Linked DNA regions of Callithrix jacchus. The protein of the gene in region 5 purifies or fractionates together with the protein of the main gene of each other region. This does not show direct contact. Links are inferred from orthologs where the notes say so. Each region holds a gene or a part of one and is shown on either strand. Other genes may lie near its edges. The genes, in order: UBR2, KDR, FAM241A, BCS1L, NRP1, PLXNA1 and CSNK2A2.

The links.
Region 1: the proteins of NRP1 (region 5) and UBR2 purify together in Homo sapiens (affinity purification with mass spectrometry; 3 studies listed by BioGRID and IntAct, counting the BioPlex papers as one, with this or other methods). This does not show direct contact. The link is inferred for Callithrix jacchus from reciprocal best matches to the Homo sapiens genes NRP1 and UBR2.
Region 2: the proteins of NRP1 (region 5) and KDR purify together in Homo sapiens (affinity purification with western blotting; 7 studies listed by BioGRID and IntAct, with this or other methods). This does not show direct contact. The link is inferred for Callithrix jacchus from reciprocal best matches to the Homo sapiens genes NRP1 and KDR.
Region 3: the proteins of NRP1 (region 5) and FAM241A purify together in Homo sapiens (affinity purification with mass spectrometry; 3 studies listed by BioGRID and IntAct, with this or other methods). This does not show direct contact. The link is inferred for Callithrix jacchus from reciprocal best matches to the Homo sapiens genes NRP1 and FAM241A.
Region 4: the proteins of NRP1 (region 5) and BCS1L purify together in Homo sapiens (affinity purification with mass spectrometry; 3 studies listed by BioGRID and IntAct, counting the BioPlex papers as one, with this or other methods). This does not show direct contact. The link is inferred for Callithrix jacchus from reciprocal best matches to the Homo sapiens genes NRP1 and BCS1L.
Region 6: the proteins of NRP1 (region 5) and PLXNA1 purify together in Homo sapiens (affinity purification with western blotting; 4 studies listed by BioGRID). This does not show direct contact. The link is inferred for Callithrix jacchus from reciprocal best matches to the Homo sapiens genes NRP1 and PLXNA1.
Region 7: the proteins of NRP1 (region 5) and CSNK2A2 purify together in Homo sapiens (affinity purification with mass spectrometry; 5 studies listed by BioGRID and IntAct, counting the BioPlex papers as one, with this or other methods). This does not show direct contact. The link is inferred for Callithrix jacchus from reciprocal best matches to the Homo sapiens genes NRP1 and CSNK2A2.

What each region holds. Positions count from the first base shown.
Region 1 is NC_133505.1:51,175,970-51,179,469, reverse strand, and holds part of UBR2 (E3 ubiquitin-protein ligase UBR2), read right to left. Parts: intron 626-3,500; coding exon 477-625; intron 60-476; coding exon 4-59; intron 1-3. UniProt on the Homo sapiens protein: E3 ubiquitin-protein ligase which is a component of the N-end rule pathway.
Region 2 is NC_133504.1:141,635,202-141,638,701, reverse strand, and holds part of KDR (vascular endothelial growth factor receptor 2), read right to left. Parts: intron 2,794-3,500; coding exon 2,597-2,793; intron 1-2,596. UniProt on the Homo sapiens protein: Tyrosine-protein kinase that acts as a cell-surface receptor for VEGFA, VEGFC and VEGFD. Plays an essential role in the regulation of angiogenesis, vascular development, vascular permeability, and embryonic hematopoiesis.
Region 3 is NC_133504.1:85,062,829-85,066,852, reverse strand, and holds the start of FAM241A (uncharacterized protein FAM241A), read left to right. Parts: upstream 1-1,224; 5' UTR 1,225-1,349; coding exon 1,350-1,502; intron 1,503-4,024.
Region 4 is NC_133507.1:140,397,758-140,401,845, forward strand, and holds the start of BCS1L (mitochondrial chaperone BCS1), read left to right. Parts: upstream 1-1,288; 5' UTR 1,289-1,318; exon of another isoform or gene 1,319-1,870; 5' UTR 1,871-2,324; coding exon 2,325-2,869; intron 2,870-2,967; coding exon 2,968-3,107; intron 3,108-3,323; coding exon 3,324-3,518; intron 3,519-3,753; coding exon 3,754-3,817; intron 3,818-4,061; coding exon 4,062-4,088. UniProt on the Homo sapiens protein: Chaperone necessary for the incorporation of Rieske iron-sulfur protein UQCRFS1 into the mitochondrial respiratory chain complex III.
Region 5 is NC_133508.1:32,987,594-32,991,593, forward strand, and holds the start of NRP1 (neuropilin-1), read right to left. Parts: upstream 2,801-4,000; 5' UTR 2,641-2,800; coding exon 2,556-2,640; intron 1-2,555. UniProt on the Homo sapiens protein: Cell-surface receptor involved in the development of the cardiovascular system, in angiogenesis, in the formation of certain neuronal circuits and in organogenesis outside the nervous system. Mediates the chemorepulsant activity of semaphorins.
Region 6 is NC_133516.1:76,332,938-76,336,437, reverse strand, and holds part of PLXNA1 (plexin-A1), read left to right. Parts: coding exon 1-150; intron 151-236; coding exon 237-387; intron 388-1,563; coding exon 1,564-1,659; 3' UTR 1,660-3,500. UniProt on the Homo sapiens protein: Coreceptor for SEMA3A, SEMA3C, SEMA3F and SEMA6D. Necessary for signaling by class 3 semaphorins and subsequent remodeling of the cytoskeleton. Plays a role in axon guidance, invasive growth and cell migration.
Region 7 is NC_133521.1:16,079,386-16,083,428, forward strand, and holds the start of CSNK2A2 (casein kinase II subunit alpha'), read right to left. Parts: upstream 2,801-4,043; 5' UTR 2,431-2,800; coding exon 2,327-2,430; intron 1,884-2,326; exon of another isoform or gene 1,710-1,883; intron 1,535-1,709; coding exon 1,423-1,534; intron 1-1,422.

The DNA.
Region 1 (3,500 bases), on a different chromosome or scaffold from region 5:
TACCAGTCTGCAAGGTAAAGGACCAAACAATGGTTTATCTTCATCACTCAGAATTCTTTCTACGAATTAAAGATGGTTAAAATGGTAAATTTCACGTTATGTACATTTTAATATAATTGTTTTAAAAGGTTAAAAAAACCCAATTCTGCAGACAGTACAATATTGTCAGGTTTCAGAATCTTCAAAGTCATTTCACAAGAATTAAGTTTGGTTACAGAGTAAAAATGAACAGTACATTTCTTCAACTGACAAGAAGCTATAACCACCACCAAGAGTTCTCTGTTGCTGTGGTTAATTTATGAACTATCAATCTAGTATTTTGTCAGTACACTACATTTCTTGCTTCTCAGTCTTTTTATTATTATTTCTTCATACTGTTGCCCACTTTAAACACTTCATTTAAAAACACGATTCTATACATAATTCATATCAACAAATGCTTGTGACTTACAGAGGAACAGCTGTAAATCTCTTACCTATGCTTTGGATGGTGTATGCACAGCTACCCCAACACATTATGGGAACACGAGGATCCTCCTCATTGGGATGAACCTTTAGTCCCACCTTGTATGTAGCAGTTCCAAATGTCGTTAGCATTTCTTTTATGCTCTCAGAATAAGGGTTCCTGAAGTAAACATGTGTAAAATTAGCTCAGAACAATGCGCACATATCAATCAAATGGTTCAGTTTCTTAACAGCTTCTTGCTATATTGAAATTGAACCACTTAACATGTATCCAGAGGTAACTGTATGCAAAGTGATTAGAGATATGCAAACTGCCCCTGCCCAAGAGGAGTTAGGCTCTTTGATGTAGCAGGGGTGAGGCACAGGCTGAAAGCAGGGTGCTGGGCAAAGGTCTACAGGCTAAACAGTGAGATCCTTGACCCTGTTTCCCATCCTGAGAACATCAGCAGTGTATACCCCCTGCCACAGAGTTTAGTTTTTCCAGTGAACAATCCTCAGGGGAAAGTTGTTTTTACACACTGACATTTGGGGGTCACCAAGTAAAAGACTGGACGTGTCCTGAGCACCTTTACTGTGAGGCTTACAAGTCAGCAAGCTCCAATCTGTCCACCAGGTATTCTTATGCTCATTGGCTTAAGTTATCCAAGGACCAATAAGCATTTAAGGAAAGCATCAAAGAGATAAACCAAAACAAAGAAGCAGAGAAACAGAACTCAGGAAAAACAGACAATGTAGAAAGTTTCACTTACAGGAAATTAGGGTATCAGTTCAATAGGTCCAACAGTGAGCTAATAGAACTACCTCAAAGAACAAAATCCAGTAGAACATTATTTAAGAAACAACATAAAAAATTCTCAGAAATGGATATGGGGCTGGGCGTGGTGGCTCACACCTGTAATCCCAGCACTTTGGGAGGCCGAGGCGGGTGGATCCTGAGGTTAAGAGATCGAGACCATCCTGGTCAACATGGTGAAACCCCGTCTCTACTAAAAATACAAAAAATTAGCTGGGCATGGTGGCGCATGCCTGTAATCCCAGCTACTCGGGAGGCTAAGGCAGGAGAATTGCCTTGAACCCAGGAGGCGGAGGTTGCGGTGAGCTGAGATCATGCCATTGCACTCCAGCCGGGGTAACAAGAGTGAAACTTCATCTCAAAAAGAAAAAAAGAAATGAAGGATATGAATGTTCAGATTCAATAGGTTTACTAAAAGCCTAGCAACATGAATAAAAAAAGATTCATATAGCAAGAAATATCACAGAAAATGTCAGAACACTAAAGAGATAAAGAGAAATATTTTAATAGTTTTCAGAAGTAACAGAGTTATTAGCCCGGGTGCAGTGGCTCATGCATGTAATCCTAGCACTTTGGGAGGCCAAGGTGGGTGGATCATTTGAGGTCAGGAGTTCGAGAATAGCCTGGCAAACATGGTAAAACCCTGTCTCTACTAAAAATACAAAAAATTAGTGGAGCATGGTGGCGCATGCCTGTAGTCCCATCTACTTGGGAGGCTGAGGTATGAGAATCCCTTGAAACTGGGTGGTGGAGGTTGCAGTGACCTGAAATTGTGCCACTGCACGATCTTGTCACTTCATCCTGGGTGACAAGAACGATATTCTGTCTCAAAAAAAAGAGAAGTAATAGAGGTACAAAGGAACCAGGCATGGTGGCTCACGCCTGTAATTCCAACCACTCAGGAGGCTGAGATAGGAGGATTGCTTGAGCTCAGGAGTTCAAGGACAGCCTGAACAATGTAGACAGAACTCATATCTAAAAAAATTTAAAAAAAGTGGCTGGGTGTGGTGGCTCACACTTATAATCCCAGCTACTTAGGAGGGTGAGACAGGAGAATTGCTTGAACCCTGGACACAGAGGTTGCAGTGAACCGAGATCGCACCACTGCACTCTATCCTGGGTGACAGAGTGAGAACCTGTCTCAGAAAAACAAAAACAGAGTCGGGTGAGGTTGCTCACACCTGTAATCCCAGCACTTTGGGAGGCGGAGGTGGAGGGATCACGAGGTTAGGAGATCGAGACCATCCCGGCTAACACAGTGAAACCCTGTCTCTATTAAAAATACAAAAAATTAGCCACGCATGGTGGCCCACACATGTAGTCCCAGCTACTTAGGAGACTGAGGCAGGAGAATCGCTTGAACCCGGGGAGGCAGAGGTTGCAGTGAGCCAAGATCTTGCCACTGCACTCCAGCCTGGGTGACAGAGCAAGACTCCATCTCAAAAAACAAACAAAAAACAAAAATAGTTACAAAGGAACAGGAATTAGAATGGTATTAATTTCTCAATGGATATAAAATTTAGTAAAATAATAGCTTCAAAATCTAGATGAAAAGTTACTTCTAACCTATAATGCTATACCCAAACTATCAACTGGGCATATGAATAAAATGAACATATTTTCAAACATGAAAATATATCTTCCAGGTATCTTTTCTTAGGAATCTGCAAAAAGAGCAAGTATTTAAGAAAGAGGAAAACATTCAATCCAGAAAATAAGAGGAGTGGGGCCAAGAGAAGTGACAGCTGTCCCCCATCTTGACTGCAAGGGTGATGGTATTTATTGCTGTACATTGAAAGAAATCTAAGAGCCACGTGGCATGTTTAACTCTCACCTCTTTCTCCCAGTCGGCATTGCTGACCCCCCCACCACACCCCTTTCTCTACCTGGCTCTCCTTGACAACATCTAATCAGCACCACAGCTTATTAACTGTGCACCCTTTGAGATTACAAGTGTGCACCACTACGTCCAGATAATTTTTGTATTTTTAATAGCGACAGGGTTTCACTGTGTTGGCTAGGCTGGTCTTGAATTCCTGACCTCAAGTGATCTGCCTGACTTGGCCTCCCAAAGTGCTGGGATTGTAGGCGGGAGTCACCACACCCGGCCTGATGCATTTTCTATTCAAGTCTTATAGGTCTGTATTTATTGAATTACTTAGTACATAACAGGCACAGGTTCCAGGTAGCTTTAGGCACATTATATCACTTTATTCTAATAACATCTATGAATTATCCTCAC
Region 2 (3,500 bases), on a different chromosome or scaffold from region 5:
AAAAATCATGTTTAATAGTGATTGCATTTCGTTTAACATTTAGGAGTCATTGATATCTTCAATGACAAACATCTGAAAAGCTACCATTCCAAAGACTGAGAAGAAAACTGAAGAGATTCTGGCCAGGTGCAGGGGCTCACACCTGTAATCCCAACACTTTGGGAGGCTGAAGGGGGCAGATCACTTGAGGTCAGGTGTTTGAGACGAGCCTGGTCAACATGGCAAAACCCCATCTCTACTAAAAATACCAAAAAAAACTAGCCGGGCATGGTGGCACGTGCTTATCATCTCAGCTATTTTGGAGGCAGAGGCAGGAGATCAGTTGAACCTGGGAGGCCAAGGCTGCAGTAGGCTGAAATAGTGCCACTGCTCTTCAGCCTGAGCAACAAGAGCAAAACTCCATCTCGAAAAAAAAAAAGATTTTGAGGCCATTCAAACATTACTCATCCAATGTTAACACACTGCTGGAAAACTTGTCCATTTCCCAGAGATAGAGACGATGTGGTGTGGAGTCATGCTTGAAGTCTCAGAGAGATAGCATTTCACATTGCTATGCCCAACACATCTGATCAAGCATTTTCAGAGTGCTTCATAACAGTGAGTCAAAGAGAAGAAAGAGTTAATTAAACCACGGGGGGACAAAGGCAGCTAATTCCCTGCAACAGCAGAAGTTTGATTTCCTTCCCAGCTGGATAGCACAGAAAAGCAGCCAATCTAGCCCACCACATGCCATAGCCATTATCTTATAAGGCCAGGGCTGACTTCCTGGCTCCATCCATTGCTGAAGAGAATGGGGTCAGAAGACTAGGGAAGTAAGGTGGGGATCGGAGGGGACATTAAACACCTATCCATAGAGAATACTTTAGTGTTTCCTTTCCCATTGTTTAACTTCATGGCCAAAATCTTGGACAGCCCAACTCCTAGAACTTTAGGCTTAGACAGGAAGCAGAATTTAATGGTATACCGAAAGACAGGCAGCGTACCAGTAAACAGTGCTAAGGATTGCTACTTCTTAGTATTGCCTACCTTTCATCCAGATGTTATGAAGTGTTACATAACTTGCTTACAGAACAAGCCTTTGGAAATTAAATTAACCCTTTGACGTAACACTAAACCTGTTTAGTAAATCAATTCTATTTCAGTATCTCAAAAGAAGGAAATAAACAAAAGAAACCCAAACAACCACCCATCCTCTCAAAATAAAATATTTACTGAAATTCATGAAATGAATTTTCACATGTCTCCAAGTTTCCTGACTTAGGGAGAAGTAAATAATGAGATATTATGGGGGAGGTTCATCTTGTAGTATTTCCAGACAGGCTAAAAGCAGGAAATCCTCGCCCTCGTCTGACAGAGCTGCATCTCCCAAGACTGCCAGATCAAAAGGAGTCAGAAATTCTCCAAGATCTGAGCCTTGTCTCTTTCAAATCCTGCAGAGGGGAGGAGGAGGGCACAGCATTCTATCTTGGACAGTGCTTACTCTGGCAAAAATAATTCTCAAATATCATGAATCTAGTGGCATAAGTTATTTTGACGTGGTCTCCACTTTTTTATTGCACTAACCATATTAGACACTACTGAGATGTAAGCAGATATATGCCAGTGTGTTTCCCAAAGCTGATGAAATTCTTGCCCTGTAAAAGCTGCTTCTGGGAAAAAGGTCTAGGTCATCTTCACCTGTCTCAAATACTCTGGGATGTAAAGAGGCATATACATGAATACATAAAGTGTCTGTTTATCTTCACTGAAAAGAAAAACGTTTGGTACATCCAAGCAAACTATGATGCAACCCTTACATTCCTCAAATTTATATCATAGAAATCTCATTATTTAAGTCAGGTTTTCACAGAAAAAAATAAGATAGTGTAAGATTTTTGAAACACAAAGAATGCATAGCTCATGATAAATATTGAATATGTGTGACATTTATTTTATACTATATGGTTGTTAAATCAGCCTCCATGGTATCAATCCCAAGTTGCAAATCCTAGAAAAATATGGTATATCATCCAAGATCTCAGACTAAACAAGCAAAGGAAAGAAACATTGTCCTCGAAAGACTCTTTGAAGCAATGTCTTTATTTGCACATGAGTATGGGAATTGTTTTTTATGAAGTATTAGTAAGAAAAAAAAAGTTCCTATGTGCAAAAAAACTCCAGAGCTCTTGGCAAAAATGCTTTCCTATGAATTCTTGGGAAAATCTTTTCTTCTGCTATAGATAACTTGTCTCTCCACAGAAATCTCTTCATAATTCACCCCCAAATCTTCCTCAATTTCAAGAATTTTAGGTTGTCTTCTCAAACATAAGAAGACTTTTATAAGTCTCAGTGGCCAATAGTGAACACGAATTTACCCTGGAAACAAAGATCAATCCCAAACGAATTGGGCAGAAGAGCGGTAACACAGCCCGAGCTCTAGAATCAATCAATGAGTCTTATTTCTCAGAGGAAGCCTCAAGAGAGAAGAATTTTCTGTATTCCACTTGACAAACAGCCTTTAGAGCAAGCTCTTTCTTGTACTCAATTCTTCTTTGAGGCTATTGTCTTTTATAACTGGTAAAGAGACGTGGGAAATGAATTTTATTTCACCACTTACCTTGAACATAGACATAAATGACCGAGGCCAAGCCAGTTTCCCGGTAGAAGCACTTGTAGGCTCCAGTGTCATTTCCGATCACTTTTGGAATTGTGAGTATCTTACAGAAGAGGCCATCACTGCATTCAGTCACCTCCACCCTTTCCTCGGTGCTGCTCTGATTATTGGGCCAAAGCCAGTCCAAGTCCCTCTGTCCCCTGAAAAATTAATTTCAGGGAGGTATTAAAGTGAAGTGCCTGACTATGAGGCTATTTCTAAGAAAAGAGAAACTTTAGTTCTCAAACTTAAGTAAACTCTTACCAGACATAGTCAAAGTCTTCTACCGGCCAGGCATGGTGGCTCAGGCCTGTAATCCCAGCACTTTGGGAGGCCAAGGCAAGTGGATCACCTGAGGCCAAGAGCTCAAGACCAGCCTGGCTGACATGGTGAAACCCCATCTCTACTATAAATACAAAAATGAGCTGAGCATGGTGGCACATGGCTGTATTACCAGCTACTCAGGAGGCTGAGGCATGAGAACTGCTAGAACCAGGGAGGTGAACATTGCAGTGAACCAAAATCATGCCACTGCACTCCAGCCTGGGCAACAGGGCAACATCATCTCAAAAAACAAAAAAAAGTCTTCTACCAACAACAAGTTGGATCGACATATGATGGAAAGTTACAAACTCAGAGGTCACTTACAGAGATTCCTGAGTTTTCTATTAATTAATACATTCTTTCATTCAACAAATATTTATTAACCATCTACTACACGCCAAACTTGTTAAGGACTGGAGAAAGAGCAGTGAACAAATCAGACAAACATCAATGTCTTTGTGGAACCTCAGTCTAACTGGAGAAAACAGGCAATTAAAGAATAAGTAAAACTGATTGTATGAAAGATGGTGTTTAGTGCTATGGA
Region 3 (4,024 bases), on a different chromosome or scaffold from region 5:
TTTCTCAGTGTACAGATAAGGCATACACACAAAAAATGTGATATTTTATTTAAACACCTCTCTATTTTCCTTGAACAAAATGGATGGGGAAGTACAGAAAAAATTATCAATTTGATAGGTTCCCCTTACCACCCACTGAGAAAGACGTATTCTTACCCAGTTATAGAAAGATACACCATTTGACACACCATCAAACCATCCAACCCTCCAACAAACAACACACACTAGGAAGCACTCAACAGAAAGGGACAAAGACACAGACCTTCAGAGAGACACTAGGAAAGGCGGCTAAAGGAACAAGAGGGACAGTGAAATGTGTTTGCCTTGAAAAGGATGGGCAGCTACTCAGGCAAGAATGGGGGACCCTGCTGGAGAGTGTAACTGGGTGTATGTGTGTGTTTCTCTCTCTCACATGCAAACCCACAAACACTGTCATCTCTTACACAAATGCACTCTCTTTTAAATATATCCACTGGCTGTCTCACACAAGTAGTTTCTCCTTCACACTTGGTCTCTCACAGTTTCTGTTGTTCCTTCATACAATCTCTGATTCACAGAGTCTCTAGTATACACATAAAATCTTTCTGTTTTTTTTTAGACAGGGTCTGGCTCTATCGCCCAGGCTGTAGTGCAGTGGTGCACTCTCTGCTCACTGCAGCCTTGGCTTCCCCGACTGAAGCGATCCTCCCACCTCAGCCTCCTGAGTAGCTGGGACCACAGTGCGCCACTACGCCCCTGCTAACTGTATTTTTAGCAGAGATGGGGTTTTCACGATGTTGTCCAGGCTGGTCTCCGAATACTGGGCTCAGGCAATCGGCCTTCCTTGGCCTCCCAAAGTGCATACAATCTCTTATACGCAGTTTCTCTTACATAGAATCTCTCACACACACACACAAATCATGCTCAGTGTCTCTCTCATACTCTCTAATAATCTCTTACACACAATCTCCGTCATACACACAGACTCATTGTATACGAGCTCCCTTATGCAGTCTATATCCAGCCTCTCACACACCCCCTTATTCTCTCAGTCAGACACACACACACACACACACACACACACACACACAGACACACACACACACACACACACACACACACAGTTGGCCCCGCCCCCTGCCTTGGCCCCTCCTCCATATGGCTCCGCCCCGACGGCGGGGGTTGGGCGAGCCAGTGACAGGAGGGGCCGGGCTGGTACTTCAGGCGCCCGGGCCGGCGGGGCGCGCTCCGGAGGCTCCTGTCACCGGCGGGTGCGGCCGATCCCAGAACAGCCCTCGGGCGGCGGCGCTGCCTGGTGCGCCCGGCGTGGTCCTAGGCGGCCGTCCGGGGTGGCAGTAGTTAGCGGCGGGATGTGCTCGGCAGAGGAGCTGCTGCGGGGCGGCGGCGGCGGGGACCGCGACGAAGACGGGGACGCGCTACAGGAGCGGGCGGCGGCAGGGACCGAGCGGGAGCCCGGGGCAAGTCCGCGGCGGCGCAGACAGCAGCTGAAGGAGAGCGAGCAGGTGAGCGCGGGGAGGGGCGGCGGCGGCGGCCGCGCGGTAGGGCTGGGGGCCGCGAGTCCCGCCGGGCGGTGGAGGAAGTGGCCCGGCTTGCGGGCCGCGCTGCGGCTCTGCCCCGCGTGGGGCACTGGCTCCGCGGCGCTCTGGGAAGCCGCCTCCGGGAGCAGTTAGACGGCGCGCCCGGGAGGGGCCGCGGGGTCGCGCGAGTGCGGACGCCGGCGCCGGCTCTGGCCCCGGGGTCGCGTGTCTGTAGGGGTCAGCGTGGCCAGTCCCCTGGCGCCCGGCAGAGGATTCGCAGGCCGGCGCCCAGGGCTCGGGGGAAATGCCTTCCGTAGCTGTGATTGATTTAAAAACCTCACTCGAAAACACTTCTTTTTCAACTTCCAGTCCGTACCCTGCGCCGGGTTTAGGAGACGGCGGCTCCCCTCCCGCCCTCCATCTTGGCCTTTCCGAACCCACACCTAACGTGTCTGGAAGGTGTGGGTGGATTCCGTCCACGGGCCGCGCTGAAAGCATGAGTAGGAAGCGGGTGTTACAATGGATGTCTTGACAGGGACTCTCCCAGAGCAAGTTCTTCACATAAACACAGATGAGATCAAAGCTTCAGTTAAAAAGTGGAGAGGCAAGAATATTGCTTTCGCTTAGTATTATACTGAAGAGAAAGAAGTTTAAGAGGCCAGCGCCATAATAAGGGAAAAGAAGTTGGGTAATTTTTTAAACTCCCTGAGTTTGATCTCATTTAAATAAAGTGTGATAATGAGCATTATAACATCAAATATCATCAAGATTAGGCAAGAGGTTTAAGTTTAAAAACTGAATTGTATGTTGAATTTTCTACAGCAAATACAGTATTTAGACTTTCACAAATACCGAGATAAGCCGATCTTAGAATCACATTAAGGAGCAGGAATTCAAATGATTATTGGCCTTTATTACAGCCTGTACTGTTAGGACAGCTAATACCTGTCTCTCCTCATCTTTCTCCATCTGCCTTTCTGTCACATTTCACAAATTCCAATATCATCACTAAATATATTATAGATGTATAACTTCTATTGTTTCAATATATTACTTAGGAAACAGAATAACATTGTGTGGCACACAATATATGCCTTAGCGTTAGGATTGATCACCACGTGTAGTGTGATTTTTCATCTGTGACAATATAAGAGAAAGTAACTCAAGCAAATAATTTGATAGCTGGTTCTTCTGATACCCTTCCTAGTGGTTTTTCCCATTAACTGTTACTCAGTTGCTCAAGGGCTTGGTTTCCTCTAACTTAAATTGCTCAACTAGAAAAGTGAAGAAAACAGCAAGAATTCCTTTGGGGAATGGGGGAGGGGTGTGCATTTGAGCAGAGGTTTCCAAAGTAAATTTTCAAATAGTCAAGAGATCATGTAAAAGACTTCATTTACCTTCTGTGTACTTCATTAGTATGATTATGTAGACATCACCAATAGCTGTGGTCTTTACAAAATTGCTTATGGTACAAAGTAAAAGAATAAAACAAAAAATGAAATAGTATCTTAGAAAACAGATATCACTTTGCATACCTGCTGCCTTCGTTGACTGTCATGAAAGTTCATTTTCCTGTATTCCTTTGAAGTGTTATTTTTATCATTCTCTTTTTATCTCAAGATTTGTGAATGTATTCTAAGCCCCCATACACAGTAATTGAAAATCACAACTCAGATATGCATTTCCTTCTACATCAGCACCAAAGAAGAACTTATCAAGAAGACAAACATAAGCAAAAAATTGGTGCAATCAAACCCACTTTGTAAAAAGCAAGCTTTTCTGATAAATTGTTTCTTGATAATATTATCACAAAGCCTTGTTTTCTAGTTTTTTTCAAGTCCTGTAAATGAAATTTAAAACTGTTACACATTGCCATGTGATGATAGTAGAAACAGTATTACATGGCAAAGACATTTGAGGGAGAAATGAAATTAACAACTGTGGAGCATATCCCAGGGACTCATTTTATTCAGTTTTTATTTAGGGAGATGATTTTTGTTTGTCTTATTGGTTGTTTTGAGGATACAAGGACTCCAGATTACAAATGGAATATTTTTGAAAGATTGGTTTTTCTAAGTTAATGACTTAGAACTTAAGGTGAACTTTTCCATGAAAACAATGATATAAACAGAAACAGAACCAAAACTAAGTAGCTGGAAATGAGACAGAGGCCATCTTCCTGCCATGTTTTCTACTTGGCAGGCTCACTTGGTATTCCACTGATAGCTTCATGGATATTGAGAGGAAATTAGAGGCAGGAGCTAGCAGAGGCTCCTTCTAACCCAGAAAAGAGCTATGGTTGTGTGTTCTTGAACTCGATAGCTCCAGAGGTATCTGACGTGCTCCTCTAGCTCTTTCAGTTGATTTTGGCCAACACCTAATTTTCTATTTCTATTCCCTTCTCAGAGTTTGCCCTTTCCTGATTATTTGATGGAGATTTCTTTCTTGGGTTATTTCTCAAGCTAAAGCCTCTTTCACATACATCCCTTCCTTTACTGATTTTTCTT
Region 4 (4,088 bases), on a different chromosome or scaffold from region 5:
TGCATACTGTTATACACGGCTATAATGAATTTAAGCTGAATAATTAGTAATTAATAAGAATGATAGTAATCATTTTATGAAATTGAGTCATAGAGAAGTTGCAAAAAGAAAAAAAAAAAAAAAAAAGAAAGCAAGATCCTGCAATCTGACTGTCCCTACTTCCAGAATCCCACGGACTCAAAACAGCGGCTCACAGGGATTCACAAGGTGGCTGGGAAGGGCACTCTCGCGGTCAGAGGGATTCTCTGTAAACCGCAGCCTCCACTTACTGAATTTTATCGCTGCTCTGGGGAATCTTCCGGCTCGGCCATTCATAGCCTCCGGGGGGAGCCAAGGAGGACGCAGAGCCGTCAAGATTAAGAACCTTCTTCACCCGCGGGAGGGGAGGGTGAGATAGGAGACCGATAGTCACGAGAGAAGAAACACGCGTTATCTTCCGGGCAGGAGCACTGAGGAAAAGAAAGGACAGACTAAGGCAGAGAGAAGGCCAGGAGAAACAACGGGCCCCGGCCTAGGGACCCGGGTTCCCACCTGCCGCTGGGTTCTGACTCTCCGCGTGGCCTTGGACAGAGTCGCCTAGCTTCTCTGGGCCTCAGCTTTCCTGTCTGTAAAATGGAGGTGATGACAGTGTCCACATCTTCGGGCGGGAGCTGGATCACAAGAGCCAGCGAACTGGAAAGGCGGTTTGTAACCTGGAAGGCTTGGGATGGAGCATCTTCATGATTTTGTTCCAGAGAGCAGCGGGTACCCGGGCGGGGTCCAGAGCAATGACGCGACTGCGGCGCCGGGGCCCAGCTCTTCTGCGTGCTCCCTTCAGTACCTCCTCCCGAGAGTTCCCAGGGTCCAGGCCCACCCTGATGCCTTGACTGGAAAAACTTTGCCTCCGGCTCGCTCCACCCCCGATTCCCTTCCCAGTTCCCGCCCCGCAGCCGCTCACTCACCTCCGGACCCAGAGCCGGCTGGAGCCGCATCTCTATGGTCGGCAGTGGCTGGAGCGGCCGCCCGGGCCCACTTTGTGCGACCGCCTCCGGCCCAGCAGCCTCTAGTATATCGGGGATATGGAAGCCACTCTCTCTTCCGCTTGCCGGCTGCCGTGGTGCTCTATGTTTTCTCTCTGTGGTTTTTCCCCGCCCTCCACCCCTACTCCAGCCCTGAAGTCGGAGGAAGCACCATCGAGAGCTCTGGGGTAGAGTGGCGTGGGCTTCTCGGTAGGTGTGGCGGGAAGTAGATGAAAGGACTCGGGGCGGGGCCGAGCGCTGCTTCCCCCAAGTGCGGGTGCGGTGAAACCAACGAGACGGAGGGCCAGAGAGTCATGGCGGTGAGTGGGCGGAGTGACTGGTTGCCCTAAACCATGTGGCTGGAGGCACGAACTGGGGTGTGGGCGAGGTTCAGGAGGGGGTTTCTGGGTGTCGCGGAGGGGGAGGGGACGGGAGAGCTTTGTCTGTGGCCTTCCATGCATAGGTGTTTTGGAATTTTGGATCCCAGTTCTGAGGCTCAGCCGAGGTCACTGCTGTCAGCTCATCTCCCTGCATGCCAGGTGCAAGGCAAAGTGGCCGGGGTTCGGGGTTGGAGGACAGGTGTACTAGAGACAACTTTGCGCTTATCCCTCAGGATCTTATTTGTCTACAGTGTAACGATCCGTGGAGAAAGTAGCAGATGGGTAGGTTTCAGTTGGGGAGGATAAGGGAGAAAAGAACCGGCATTCCGAACCAAGAGAACTGCATGAGCAAGGAGGTGGGAGGTTGCTTATCTGTTGAACATATTTGTTGCATATTTGCTGAACAGGTAGTGTTAGGAACTAATCTATGAAAGGTAGGTGTGCGCCGTATTGCGGAGGGCCTTGAGTACCAGGCTCAATTTGTACCCCCAGCCATTGAAGGCACTGGAGCAGAAAGAGAGATGGAATTGGAGCTGATCCCTATGATGAAAGATCCGGACCCTTGTGTAGCTGTTGAGTGAAGCAGGAGGTGAAGAAAAAAGTGCCATTTCAAGAACTATAATTTTAAATATAGTTTAGGTGGGAAGTAATAAAGGTCTAAACAGGACATTAGATATTGGGAACGTAAGGGAGAGGATATTTGAAGGACGTTACTCATGGTAACAAGGCATAGAGTTATTGACAAATCAATGGATGCTTCCCCCTTGCTGACTCCAGCTAGTGGGCCCCTTTCTATAAAAGCTGGTACCATGGACCACAAAAATCCTGTCCATTCATTATCCTGATGTGAAGCCAGTTTATATTGCTCTTTTTGGTTTAAGGCATCTCCAGACATGGTCCTCTGGTAAGAAACAGGTATGAGTAGAGTAATGAAGGGCAAAATGGGATGAGGGGCATTGCATGGAATGCAAGTCTTCACCCTTGCATTCCAATACTACCCTTACCCCACAAAAGGAGGATATTGACCAACAGAGTAGTGCTAACCTGTGCGCAGGGCTGGAGAGGTCCAATTTTTAAAGTAATCTTTTGCTTTGTCCCATCTCCACTGTTCCCCACTCGTAGGTTTTTGCAACACCCCAGGGCTGGTAAGGTTTGGTGTTTCCCTTTCAAGATGCCACTTTCAGACTTTATTCTGGCCCTGAAGGACAATCCCTACTTTGGGGCTGGATTTGGGCTGGTGGGTGTGGGCACAGTCCTGGCCCTGGCCCGGAAGGGTGCCCAGCTGGGCCTGGTGGCATTCCGGCGCCATTACATGATCACACTGGAAGTCCCTGCTCGAGACAGGAGCTATGCTTGGTTGCTTAGCTGGCTCACCCGCCACAGTACCCGTACTCAGCACCTCAGTGTGGAGACTTCGTACCTTCAGCATGAGAGTGGCCGCATTTCCACTAAGTTTGAATTTGTCCCCAGCCCTGGAAACCACTTTATCTGGTAAGGTTGGGAGCCAGGGAGGGCTGTGAGAGTAGAAAAAAATGATGGGAGCTGGGTTTGAACCATTCACTCACTCTGTTTTGATTGTTCTTATTCAGGTATCAGGGGAAATGGATCCGAGTAGAACGAAGTCGAGAGATGCAGATGATAGACTTGCAGACGGGGACTCCTTGGGAATCTGTCACCTTCACGGCCCTGGGCACTGACCGAAAGGTTTTCTTCAACATCCTGGAGGAAGGTGTGGGATGGCACAGGCAGGCTTTCTAGGGACATTGCAGGGATGGGGACATTTGACATCAGAGGATAAGCAGTTTGGAGAGGTGGAATAAGCAGACCAGGGTGAGCCCAGGGGAGCACGGGGCCAGAAGGAAGCTGTTGGGCATAGCTCCACCTAATCGAAGAATCAGCCATGGTGAAGAGAATTATTGGCTTTATCTCATCTTTTCCTTTTCAGCTCGAGAGCTAGCCTTGCAGCAGGAGGAAGGGAAGACCGTGATGTACACAGCTGTAGGCTCTGAATGGCGTCCCTTTGGCTATCCACGCCGCCGGCGGCCACTGAGTTCTGTGGTTCTACAACAGGGTCTGGCTGACCGAATTGTCAGAGACATCCGGGAATTCATTGATAACCCCAAGTGGTACACCGACAGAGGTAAGAAGCAGCTAAGATCTTGGCTGTGCTATTTTTGACATTTTAGAGGGGACAGGTTGGTCTCTGGCCAGATGGGGTGATAGAAAGTTCTAGTCCAATTCCCAGAGATTAAGAGGAATGAAAAGTTGTGTATGAGGATGATTTATTTCCCTACCAGTTATCAGGCTTCCAGCGGGCAGGGCTGGGAATGAACGTGGATATCGGGCAAAATCCATATCAACCTGGCTCTCCCTAGGCATTCCCTACAGACGTGGCTACCTGCTTTATGGGCCCCCTGGTTGTGGAAAGAGCAGTTTTATGTGAGTAGTCAAAATTTCTCTTGGTGAAACTAAGCCTTTGTGAAAACACTGGGCTGATGGGGTTGGAAAGGGAAGTGAATCTGGGGACCAGGGGCCGGGATAAACATGAAATGTGTGGAACATTAGGGTGTGAGCTAGAAGTTAAGCCTCTGAGACACATATCCCCAGACTGAGAGGAGAGTAGCTGGGCCTGAGGAAGCATTTCCAGGTTGCCTGCTACCTCCTGCCATCCCATCCTCCATAGCACAGCCCTGGCTGGGGAACTGGAGCA
Region 5 (4,000 bases):
TATTGTTCAGCATAGATTCTCATTGTCACATTTTTATAATGGATTTCATACTGGAGTGCCTCAGCCTGAAATGCTGCCACATTTATTGATGCTTAATTTTGAGCAATAACAATTTGGGGCATAAACTATCTAAGAGAAACAGGTATGAAAGCAGTGAAATATATAAGCCTATCAATCACAAATTTTCAGTAATGGTATATAAAGATTTTAACATTGAATCTAATAGATTCCCTGTGGAAAGAGAATGGCATTCTTTGCTCTCAGCGTGAATTTATAAATCTACAGAATTTTATTACAGGAAAACCAGGTCAAATGGAAATGAAAGATGAAGTGCACATCAAAAATGCATAAAGCTACAGGCATTACAGAAATCATTTCCCATAAATTAAAAAGAAGACAATATAGGTTATACTGTTTTTCTCAATTGCTAGGTGCTTCTGACCTTTGTTCCTTAGACTAGGGGTAGTCTTATATTGGTTTCCTTTGCACTGGCTTGTAAAAGCCTAAGGTTTGCCAGGAAAAAATTATGTTGCAACTGGAGTTCAAAATCTCAGCTAACGGTCATGTTGGATTCTGTTATGTGATTCTACTGAGACTCTTGCATTATTCTGAATGTGCAGAAAACTTGGAAAGTGACCTCGTCTCATTAAGTCTCCTCCAGCTCTGGACAAACATCATGGTAGTGTCTGGCATCTGTTACAGGAGTGAAATAAAACAGCACTGGTTCTAGTCACTCGACAGAGTCACTTCAGAAGACATTTAGGTGGACTTGGTACCACACCAGAGCTCTTTAATCTGTGACTTCTGAGAAAGTGACAGTGTAATAAGATAATGTGGACTGCTAGACTCCCTGGCTCTGTTAAATCTCTCTAGCAGTTGATTAAGAAAGAGCAATTTCTAATGACTCTGGACCATTAGTCCTAAATAAGGTTAATGAATTAATTTAGCAGACACTGGTTACTGGGAGGAGGTGGACATGGCTTTAAGAGAACTGCTGAATTACAGAGGCATTTTCTGGCTCTGGTCACTTCAAGCATAGCAACATGGCTTTCGCTGGTCAAACTCATCAACTGAAGCCAGATTTTCAGCATTCCCCAGATTTCTGCTAAGAAAATTAAGAAGTGTGTGTGTGTGTGTGTGTGCTGCATATATATTTGTGTAGCTCACAACCTAAAGTCTGAAAGCTCTTTGCACTGAGCCTCAAATCCTTCCTGTGAACACTCCCACTATGGATTCAGACTCAGGAGTTGTGGAGGACAGGGGGTTACTATCATTTCTAGTCCAGCCATTAGAGCTCTTTCATTTGGACGAGAACGCTATTTCATTCCCTGCCAGGATATAGAAAGATGCTACCAGCTCAGGTTCATTAATAAATTGAACTCTACATTCACAATTTCCTGTGTTTTGCTTTCCTGCCAGATTATAGAAAGATGCCATCAAATTGGGTTCATTAATAAGTTGAACTCCATGTTCATAATTTTTTTTTTTTTTTTGCATGTGTTTTGCTTCAAGCATCTCTTTAGAACACTGCTTGGTAGCTGCTGAGGGAAATTCATTGCTGAAATCACAAAACCTTGAAAAAGCATATTAGAGAGATTAACTTCCATCATAAAGATGTGATTTAAATTCCTGTTGGTATGAGGCCCTCCACTTGCGGTCTCTTATTAAAACAATATACCACAGTAAGTAGTGGATGTTCTTTTCTTCTAATTACTTTGATTGAAATCTAAGCCAGACAAAAGTAAATATTTGATCATTAGTTAATAACAATTGCTGATGACTTACTGTAAAGATAATTGCTTACCCTTGCCTGCACTTACTTTATAGTGTGAAGTCAAACATGCCTACAACCAGATCCCATTTTAAAACACATTATTTAGGTTACATGGTACTGTTTATACCCAAGGATAGTTTTTCATTTACTTAACAGTGAGTGGTTTTAAAAGCCAAGTGGAAGCTGCAGCTAGCATAGGGATTTTCAGATATCCTGGTGCCTTTACACCGTATATATCAGATTCCTGTATTGATACTATGTAACTTTCAGTCATACTCCAGACAGATTAGGAAAGATATCAAAGGCGGGGGAGGGAGTTTTATCAACCCACAAATCCATATCTATAGCCATCACCCACCAGAAGAAACGGCTTAGGGGCACAGCAAAGGAACCAGGAAGTAAGATCTCCTGTAAGGTGTTCATTAACTTTCAACAGCCATCAGATTTTTGAAAGGGAGTCTCTTCTAATTGGCTTTGGGAGGAAACATTATTAAGATAATTGGATCTGGGAAGGCAGGCAGCTCTGTCTTGTAACAGAGGTAAGGAAAAGCCCCACAGCCCAATGATCAACTTCAGGAGGGAGCCCAAGGACCTAAAATCCTCCTGCCCTAAAGCGCCTGATCTCATTTCTTCGTCTCTCCTCCCAGATAAAAGTTTCCTTTGCCCCAGAGTCTGCTGTTCCCGGCAGGTCCCGGGCAACCCGCGTAAGCCCCGGGCCGGGGCGGGCGGCTGGGAGCCGGGACGCCGCTCGCTGTCACCCGCGCCTCCGCCTGTCACTTACCGTTGCGAACAGCGCCGGCCGGGGCGAGGGAGAGGGTGAGGGCGAGGGCGAACGCGGCGCAGAGGAGCGGCAGCCCCCTCTCCATTCTCCCTTCGCCAGGTCCGCAGGCAGACGCGGGAGAACGAGGACGAGGGGGGAAATGCAGCAAAGAGGGGAATCTAAGCGATCGGAAGAGCCCCAACTCCGCCTAGAGCTGTACAATCCTCAGGCCGTCTTGGAGAAAGGAAAGCAGCGAGGCAATGCCTGGATCCGAGAGGAACGCTTCTCTTTTTGTGTCTCAAGTCGCCTGCATCCTGTCATTTAGCTCCGGCTTCCTCTCCCTTTTCCCACACTTGTTCCTCTTCCAGGAGCCACTGCCCGGGCCATGTCTCAAAAAAGGCGGGGGGGGGGGGAGTGTGGGTGGGAGGGGGAGGAGGGACGTAGGGCAACACACACCAAAGCCAATTTCCAGGAAGAAAAAAAAAATCCGGCTTGTTTCTGGACCCGTTGGAGCCGTGGAGCTGGCGCCCAGGGGAGGTCCGGGTGTCTGCGGGAAGGAGAGGAGCGAGCAATGAAAAGATGAGCGGGAGACAGAGGAGTTTCACCAACTGCACTCCCGCCTCCCCTCCCGCGGCCTCCCCCCACTCTGGAGCCCTTCCCTCGCTTCCTCCCGCCCCTCTCCCCGCTCGGGCTCGCGGGTAATTGCCTGACAGGAGACTGGGAGGAACAACTTTCCGTCCGAGTGCTCTCCCCGTCCGTCTGTCTGTCTTTCCCGGAGACCCTGCAGGGATCTCCGCGGGAAGGAAGGCGCTGGGGGTCTGCGCCCCCGGCGCGTGGGTGCGGGCGCCGGAAGAAGGGGCGCGGAGGTCGGTGCCAGCCGCGGGGTCTGGCCAGCCCACCTCGCGTGCTCGCTCTGCACCCCCAGAGGGAGAGCTAGGCAGCTCCTGGAGGCGCAGATCCCGCGGCCGCGCAGTGCGGAGCGCCCGGGAGGTGGCGGCTGCTTCTTGCAACTTCAAATCCCGGGGCCCGCGCCCGCGGCAGCGAGGATCTCAGGGTCACCCTCTGCCACTCCCCATCGCGCCAGCCTGAGACTTGTGGAGGGGAGCAGCGGGGCACCCCTGGATGCCCCCGCCCAGAGCTGGAGGATAAGGAGGCGAACGCCGGGCTGGAGTGAGAGCCACACCGCGAGGCCGGGCGAGGGTCGCTGCGGTGTGAAGCCGAGTCAGACAGCCTGGGTTGGGGAGGCCGGGCTGAAGGCCCACGCAGCACCCCTGGCCCGCATTAGGGCACGCGGCTGGATGCCGATCGCGCCGGGGTGCCCTCTGCGCGTCGCAGAGGTGGCTTCATTGTTTCCTGAGATTTGGGGCCAGCTCCTCTTGGGCAGCTGGAACACCGGAGGGTGGGAGGTGCTGCGCCTTCCAAGCTGGGGCAACCGCCGCCTGACCCCGCCCAACCTGGTCTCGGAG
Region 6 (3,500 bases), on a different chromosome or scaffold from region 5:
GAATAGCATCACGGATGCCTGCTTGTCGGTGGTGGCCCAGACCTTCATGGACTCCTGCTCTACTTCTGAGCACAAGCTGGGCAAGGACTCGCCCTCTAACAAGCTGCTCTATGCCAAGGACATCCCCAACTACAAGAGCTGGGTGGAGAGGTGGGTGGAGGTTGCAGGGGTCGGGGCAGGGACCTGGGGGGCAGTGCGGACCCTGCTCATATGCCCACCTGGCCACTCACCCACAGGTACTATGCAGACATCGCCAAGATGCCGGCCATCAGCGACCAGGACATGAGCGCATACCTGGCAGAGCAGTCCCGCCTGCACCTGAGCCAGTTCAACAGCATGAGCGCCTTGCATGAGATCTACTCCTATATCACCAAGTACAAGGATGAGGTGAGCACTGTGGGAGCCCGAAAGCTGGGCTGGGAGGACCCTACCAGAGCCACTGGCTCTGCCCCGCCCTGCCAGCTCCTCCCTGAATCTCTGGGCTGCCATGGGACACCTTCGCTCCTCTGTACCTGCTGGCTACCTAGTTCCTCGGGGCCAAGAGGAAGCCTGCCAGGCTGAGAAGAGAGGGCTATAGTGGAGTCACTGTATGCAGCCATGTGGGGTCAGGGATAAGGAAGATGGGATGGCAGCTTCTTCCTGAGGTGGAGGGTGGGGGTGGTAAGCAACTTCCCTGAGGGGCTCATTTCGGGGCTCTCCAGGCTGAGCCGGCGTCTCCAGGGCTGGGCATAGGCTCTTGGCAGAGCTTCCCTTTCAGTGTCTTTTCTGCTAACTTGGAGTGAGCCCTTGTCATCCACGAACGTGGAACTGGGGACAGGCTCCAGGAGGCATCCAGGAAGAAGGACTGGCTCCTGGGCTGCATGGGACAGGAGCAGGGGCCAGAAGGCAGGACAGGCTTGGCCTGTGCCAAGGCCTGAGAGCCGAGGAGGCTATGGGACTGAACCAGAGCCACCCTGGGGAAGCTGGGGCAGGTGCAGCAGAGGCAAGGAGCCTTTCCCAGGGTGCCGCAGGCAACAGAGAGGAGGCAGAGGGCCGTCCTCAGTCAGGCACCCCAGAGGAACAGAGGAGCAGCCAGAGACTGCGTGTATTGGGGTGGGGGGTGGGAACAAAAGCCTGGGGTCCTGGGGCTCACCAGGGCAAGGGGAACTGAGGCTCTCTGGGGAGGCTCCAGGTTTTCCTTGTTGGGAGGCAGGGGCAGCCACAGGAGCCCAGGCACATCTCAAATGCAGAACCACATCTCCCTGGGGAGACTCATCTGCACCCACGACAGATGGCCATGTATTAAAGGGGTGTCAGGACTGAGTGGCGACATGTCAGCAGTGTGGCCAGACAGCCAAGGGATCAGAGCCTGCTGTTTTAGGGGGCGAGGGTAGGAATGATGACGGGGTAGGGCTCATCCTCCATGATGGGGTTCTTGGGGGTCCAGGCTCACAACCAAGGTCCCTTGGCCAGGAATAGATGGGATTGAACCTCCAGCACCTGCTCCATAGGCATCCACCCTGGGCCTGCTGAGCGTATGGAGGCCGGTGGCCCAGTATGCTGACAGCTCTCCTGGCCCTGCAGATCTTGGCGGCCTTGGAGAAGGATGAGCAGGCACGGCGGCAGCGGCTGCGGAGCAAGCTGGAGCAGGTGGTAGACACGATGGCCCTGAGCAGCTGAGCCCTGGCTGTGACCGTCCAGCAGGACGCAGCACGAGGGTGGCCGAGCAGGGACCAGGGCATCCCTCGCTGCATGCGTGTGCAGTGTCTGGTGGCGCTCAAGCCGCCGCAGTGCAGCGACTGCCCAGCCCTCCCTCCCCCGTCTCGCCCGGCCGGGTCCCGGCTCTTCCTATGTGGAGGTGAAGGTACCTACCACGCCACAGCTGTGCACACAGCTGCTTGCTCAGGGGCCGGGGCAGCACTGGGTGCCCAGGCCGGCCAAGGACCTTCATTGCCTGGCAAGAGTTGCCTGGTGGCCTTCATGAGAGAAGGGCTGACCTCTAAGGGGCTGAGGGGTGAGGCCAGGACCCTCCAAGGGGGAGGGGTAGCCAGCTTGGGCTGTCCCCTTGAGACCGGGACAAGAGGCTAGGGGTGTCAGCATTCCTAGCTTCCCAAGCTGCCCCCAGCTGGCAGAGTCTGAGGGTCCAGGGGCCCAGTTGGCAGCTGGAGAAAGAAGCAAAAGCCCATGGCTGGGCAAGAGGAGCCCACGTTGGTCTGGGCCTGTTGGCACTCGCCTCCCCCATCCAGCACCCACGCCCGCTGTACCGCTGCCATCCTCAGATTCACCGCGTGCTCTGCGCGGCAGAGGCTGGAATGCCACATCCACCTCGCCCCAGAGAGGCCATGCTCCCTCCTATGGAGGGGCTGCGGGTCGGGCTGCTCAGACTCCTGGGTGGCTTCCAGATGGACCAGGTGGCCCCTCTCTGTCCTCAGGGCTGTGCCTCTGGGAGCCATTGGGCCAGGGGCCCCGGGTCACAGAGAGCACGTTCCCGTTATTTATTCCCCTTCGAGTCCTACACGGGCTGCCCTGGAAGCTGCCTTCAAGGGTAAGGCTGAGCTCCCCACTGTGGAGCCCCTGAGGGCAGCCCCTGAGCACTCCTCTCCCTCCACTCCCTGCCCCAGCGGCTTCCAGTGTGGCATCTCAGCAGTGTCCTGGCCCTTCCAGTGCAGTGGGACATCTGGGGACTGTTTTGTTTTTAGGGGAAAAAAATTCTGCTGCACTCTGCTTGGGTCTTGAGTTCTGTGGCACAGCCCCTCCAGCCCACAGTGGCCTGGATCTATCTGGGCCATGAATGACGGGCAGTGACCAGAAGGATTGGAGGCCAGTGGTGTCCACCCTTGCCCTCAGCAAGAGAGAATGCATTCTTAAAAGAAAGCTGTACATGTATATATATGCACATATATATATGTGGCTCTAGCCTCAGGCTCCAGCCCCAGTGGGGTACTGTACAGTTAACTGAAGAGGAATTTTAAAGACAATTTAGAATAAGAAAATGAAGGCAGTGGGAAAACAATGCCAAATGGTTGTGGAGAAAGTGGCCGGAGCCTCCCTGGAGCGGAGCAGCCCTGAAGCCTGTGCCCTCAACCTGCGAGCCGCTGTTTTGGTTTGATGTGACAAGGAAAGGACTTCCTGCTGACCCTGAGAGCCTCCGGGTGCCGCGGCCCCGCGGGGCATGCATGATTGTGCTAGCGTTTAGTCTGAGTTGATCTTTTTAAAACTGCAAGTGTTGAATACTAGAGGTTGTTAGACCCTTTTTTATGTTTTTTAATTAATCAGTCACTTGTAAAAGCAAACAAGCGGTCCATCCCCTTTTCAAGGTCACTTTTTTGATGGTACTGAAGATCCCACAGACTTTAAGGGACAGCTAACTGTGGCCAGACCCAGCCCCGTGTCCTTGGCCAGGCCCGAGGAGAGCACTTGGCCCCAGGGGGTGCCAGTCTTGCAGTCCACCCGTCCTGAGCAGCTTGAGCCAGATACCACCACAGAGACCTGCCCCTCTCCTGAACACGGGTCAGTGTGTA
Region 7 (4,043 bases), on a different chromosome or scaffold from region 5:
TCTTGCAATTCTGCTCCTTCATCACTAGGCTAGGATGTATTGAGTGATGGAGTTGATCATTTTTCTGAAAGGTGATTACCAGAAAGCTAACATTGACCCCTCACATTAAACAGGGATTACCTATACAGCTGCCCTAACACACAGAAACAGCTTTTCAATACCACATTCTTAGTCCACAGAACCTCTGCAAAAGGGCCACACTGGAAATCACATGTATACAAAAGTGCTTACATTACTCTTCCATCTTCTCAATCTCTCACTGAATGACACGTGCCCACATGAAATAATCTGGCAATAATGAGGACCCATCAAAGATTCTACCAATTACTTTTTACCACACCCTATAAAACATTATTAAAGCTACACAATTAATCTTTTACCTGAAGGAAAATTTAGCCGACCCTTCATGCTCATTAAAATCATCTTCATCAAAGAGATAACAAAAGCACAGCATTATCAAACTGAGATCGCTAAACCATATGTTAAGAGTTTTGTTCCAGTGATTACTTTAGAAATCATAAGTGAATTCTATATTTTTACTAGCTGATAAGCAACAAAGGCTCTCTGGCTTTCTAACAAGGCTTCTCAGCCCTACTAGTGCACTATATCCACGCCACCTGAAACTTTACTGCCAAAGAAGAAAAAACAAGTGATTATCCACTAAGGAATTTCCTTCAACTTGGGCTCGCAATACATCTCTGAAGTCACTCCAGTTTTGTCCAGCTTTCTTTATGGAATAAGGTAGATCACGCACCAAGAGTAACAAACAGTGCTCAAGGAGACCTGAAATTGAGAATGGCTTTTTGGTCTTTTGAATACCTATTTATTTTCTAACAAATGGAGCCCTTTTGGAATTTCTGCTTTAGGCACCTATAATTTACATTTTAGAACACCTTCCTGAACTTAAGAGTTGGGCTTAGATTTGTGACCAGTCTGCACATTTCCTTGAAAGTTCACAGGAAAATGGGGTGGAAAAAGAAGTAATGAAGGGTCATCAGAGAAGTAAAATTTGAGTGTGGGCTGGGCACAGTGGCTCATGCTTGTAACCCCAGCAACTTTGGGAAGCCTGCAAGGAGTCGTTCTGGAGGACTGCTTGAGCTCAGGAGTTTAAGACCAGCCTGGGCAACATGACCAGACCCTGTCTGTACAAAAAAATTTTTTTAAATAGCTGGGCATGATGGCATGCACCTGTAGTCCCAGCTACTTGGGAGGCTGAGAAGGGAGGATCACTTGAGCCCAGGAGTTGAAGGCTGCAGTGAACCATAATCTGCACTCCAGCCTGGGTTACAGAGTGAGACTCTGACTCTAAATAAGTAATTAAATTCAAGCTTGCACTGCCCATTCTAGAATGTGACTGGGGTAGCTTACATCCTTTTGCCCTGTGGGGGAACAAATGTTATTTATCACTCATAGGACACTCACCTTGAGGATTTTTACAACCACTCTCTCATTGTTGGTGATGTTAATGGCCTCAAATACTTCACTATATTTTCCCCGACCAAGTTTTCGAACCAGTTGGTAATCATCTTGATTACTGTAAAAGGTAAGAGACAGACACACATAAATGCCAGGACTGGGGGTTAGCCAAGCCTATGCCCACTATACACGTCATCCAGCCGCTTCCGCCAGGCAAACACTTGGAAGTGTCTACACATCACGTCACAACTCATTCCCTAAATGAAAGCCACGACGTAATCTTGGCTCCCTTCACTCTGCAGAGCTCCTAACCTAACTGGTCTCTCCTAACTTGGGAAGATGGGGTAGAAAGGCAACGCTCTGAGCCAATCCAGAGGGGCGAACAAAGCACCCGTCCTGAAGGCCTAGAGGGTGCCCCCTCTGCCCCGCGGCTTCACAGCACCTGCTTCCCGTTTCACACCCTGAAGGTAGACAATCCCTGTTTTAAAAATGTGGACGTCTTTAAGAAATTTCCTCCCACTACCTCATCTCAGAAAACCGAAAAGGCAGAGAATTTTAATAGCTCCAGAGGACAGCTGTTGACTTCCCACCCTAGTGGAAACCCAAAAGTGTGAGAAGGGCTGCTCCCTCACTTCCACCCAGCGCCGATCCGTGCACCCCACACTTCTCTCCGAGTAAAAAAATCATTCCTTGGGGGAAAGGGGTGCGCAAAGCGGGGAGAAAGGGACGAAACCGGGGTAAAGGGGAGGGAAGAGGAAGACGAGGACATGTGCGAGAGCGGGACCTCTGTCTCCAGCGGGGCCGCGGAGGGATCGGCGGGAGACACCACCCCGGCCGAGTGCGGGTCGCGGGGGGCGGCCGGGCGGAGACAGGGGTCAGCGGGCCCGGCGGGGGACGGCGGCGGCTTTACCCCCAGCTCGGGACGTGAGACTCGTAGTCCCAGTACTCGCGGCTCCTCAGGCTGTTCACCTCGGCGTAGACCCGGGCCCTGCTGCCCGCGGCCGGGCCGGGCATGGCGGGCGGGACCGGGGGGCGGCGCGGGGCGCAGAGGGTGGCGGCGGCGGCGCGGCGGAGGGCGCGGGGCGGCGGGCGGAGGAGGCGGCTGGCCGCCGGGCTCTGGAGAAGGAGGAGGAGGAGCGCGGTAGCGGGCGGCCGCGCCAGGCCGGGCCCGCGGGGGCGGGCGGGCTGGGGGCGCGGGGGGCGCCGGCCGAGCCGGCCCGGCCCTGGAGCGGCCGGCGGAGCGGCGGGGCGGGCGGCGCTCGCGCTCCGCGGCGGTCTCCGCTCGGCTCGCGGCCCCCAGGAGGCGGCGGCGGCGGCACCGGCAGCGGCAGCCACCGGCCGGGAAAGGGGCAGCGGCGGCAGCAGCGGAGAAGAAGGAGGAGAGGAGGAGGAGGCGGAGGAAACCCGGAAAAGGGGCCGCGCTCACGGGGAGCGGCCGCCGCCCGGCCTGGGGCCGCCCAGGCTCACAGCGCCCCCTGCAGCGCGGGGGGACCCGCCGGGCGGTGCCGACCCCGCCCCGGCCCCACCCCAGCACGCCCCGCCCCCTCCCCCGCGCCCTCCCCCACCTTGGCCCTCCCGCTGCCCCAGGCCGGGCTGTCCAAATCGCCTCACCCTCCGGCTGGCCTTACCTCACGCCACAGGAGCCCCCACTTCCACTGGCCGTTGCCTTAGAACCCTCCCCTTCGAGTCCCGACCCTTTCAAGATTGTCGGTGGAGACCCTGCCCCCAGCTCTGCAGTTGCCCAGCTTTTACCCCCACACACCTCCCATACCCTCTTCTCGCCCAAACTGTCAAGTCTCTCTCCAGGGCCTCGCTCAAACCTCAGAACCTCTCCCACCTCAATACTTCTCCCTTCCCCCGAGACGTACCCCTCCTTCCCCCTCTGGACCCTTCCCTGTTCCCGCAGACTCCTCAGTCCCCAAGACTTCCCACCCTCTTCATTCAGAGTCCTCCTCACAAAACCCTTATACATTTCCCCCAAAAGCCCCTCCAGAGCCTTCCCTGAGAACCCTCTGAATACCCACTTTGGTCACTTGGTTAAGCTGGAGTCGGCCAGGTTGTGCCACCGCAAAGTTACAATTTTTCCCTTTGTGATTAGTAAGTCGCTTGTGGGGAGAGACGTTGAGAGTCTGTAAATCTCCTGTTTTTGTTGAGGAGGAGGGAGAGCAGGAGAATGTAAATTTGACCTGAAGGGACAGACTGAGATTGGGTATGCACCGGGATGGGTGGCCAGCTGAGCTGGCCTGGCTTCCAGTGTTGCCTGCGGCCCTGGACACTCCTCTCTTTTGACATTCTAGGCCCTTCTTCTGACTTTCTTTCTCATCCAGCATCCTTTCGCGACACAACCTCTTCACCCAGTCCAGGTTGCTCTGATTCCAATCCCTTTTCACATTCTGTTTTCTGGATGAAACTCTGGGCCTTCCTCCTTGACAAAGCTAAGAGCACAGACTGTGGAGTCAGATCTATCCAGTACTGCTGCTTACAAGCTGTGTGACCTTGGGCCAATTATTCAACCTCTCTGTTTCACAGATTCTACAGCATAAAATCAGTAATAGCACCCACTTCACAGGGCTGCAAGGAGAACTAAACAAAATAAACCATGTGAAACACTTAGGATGATGTTCAAT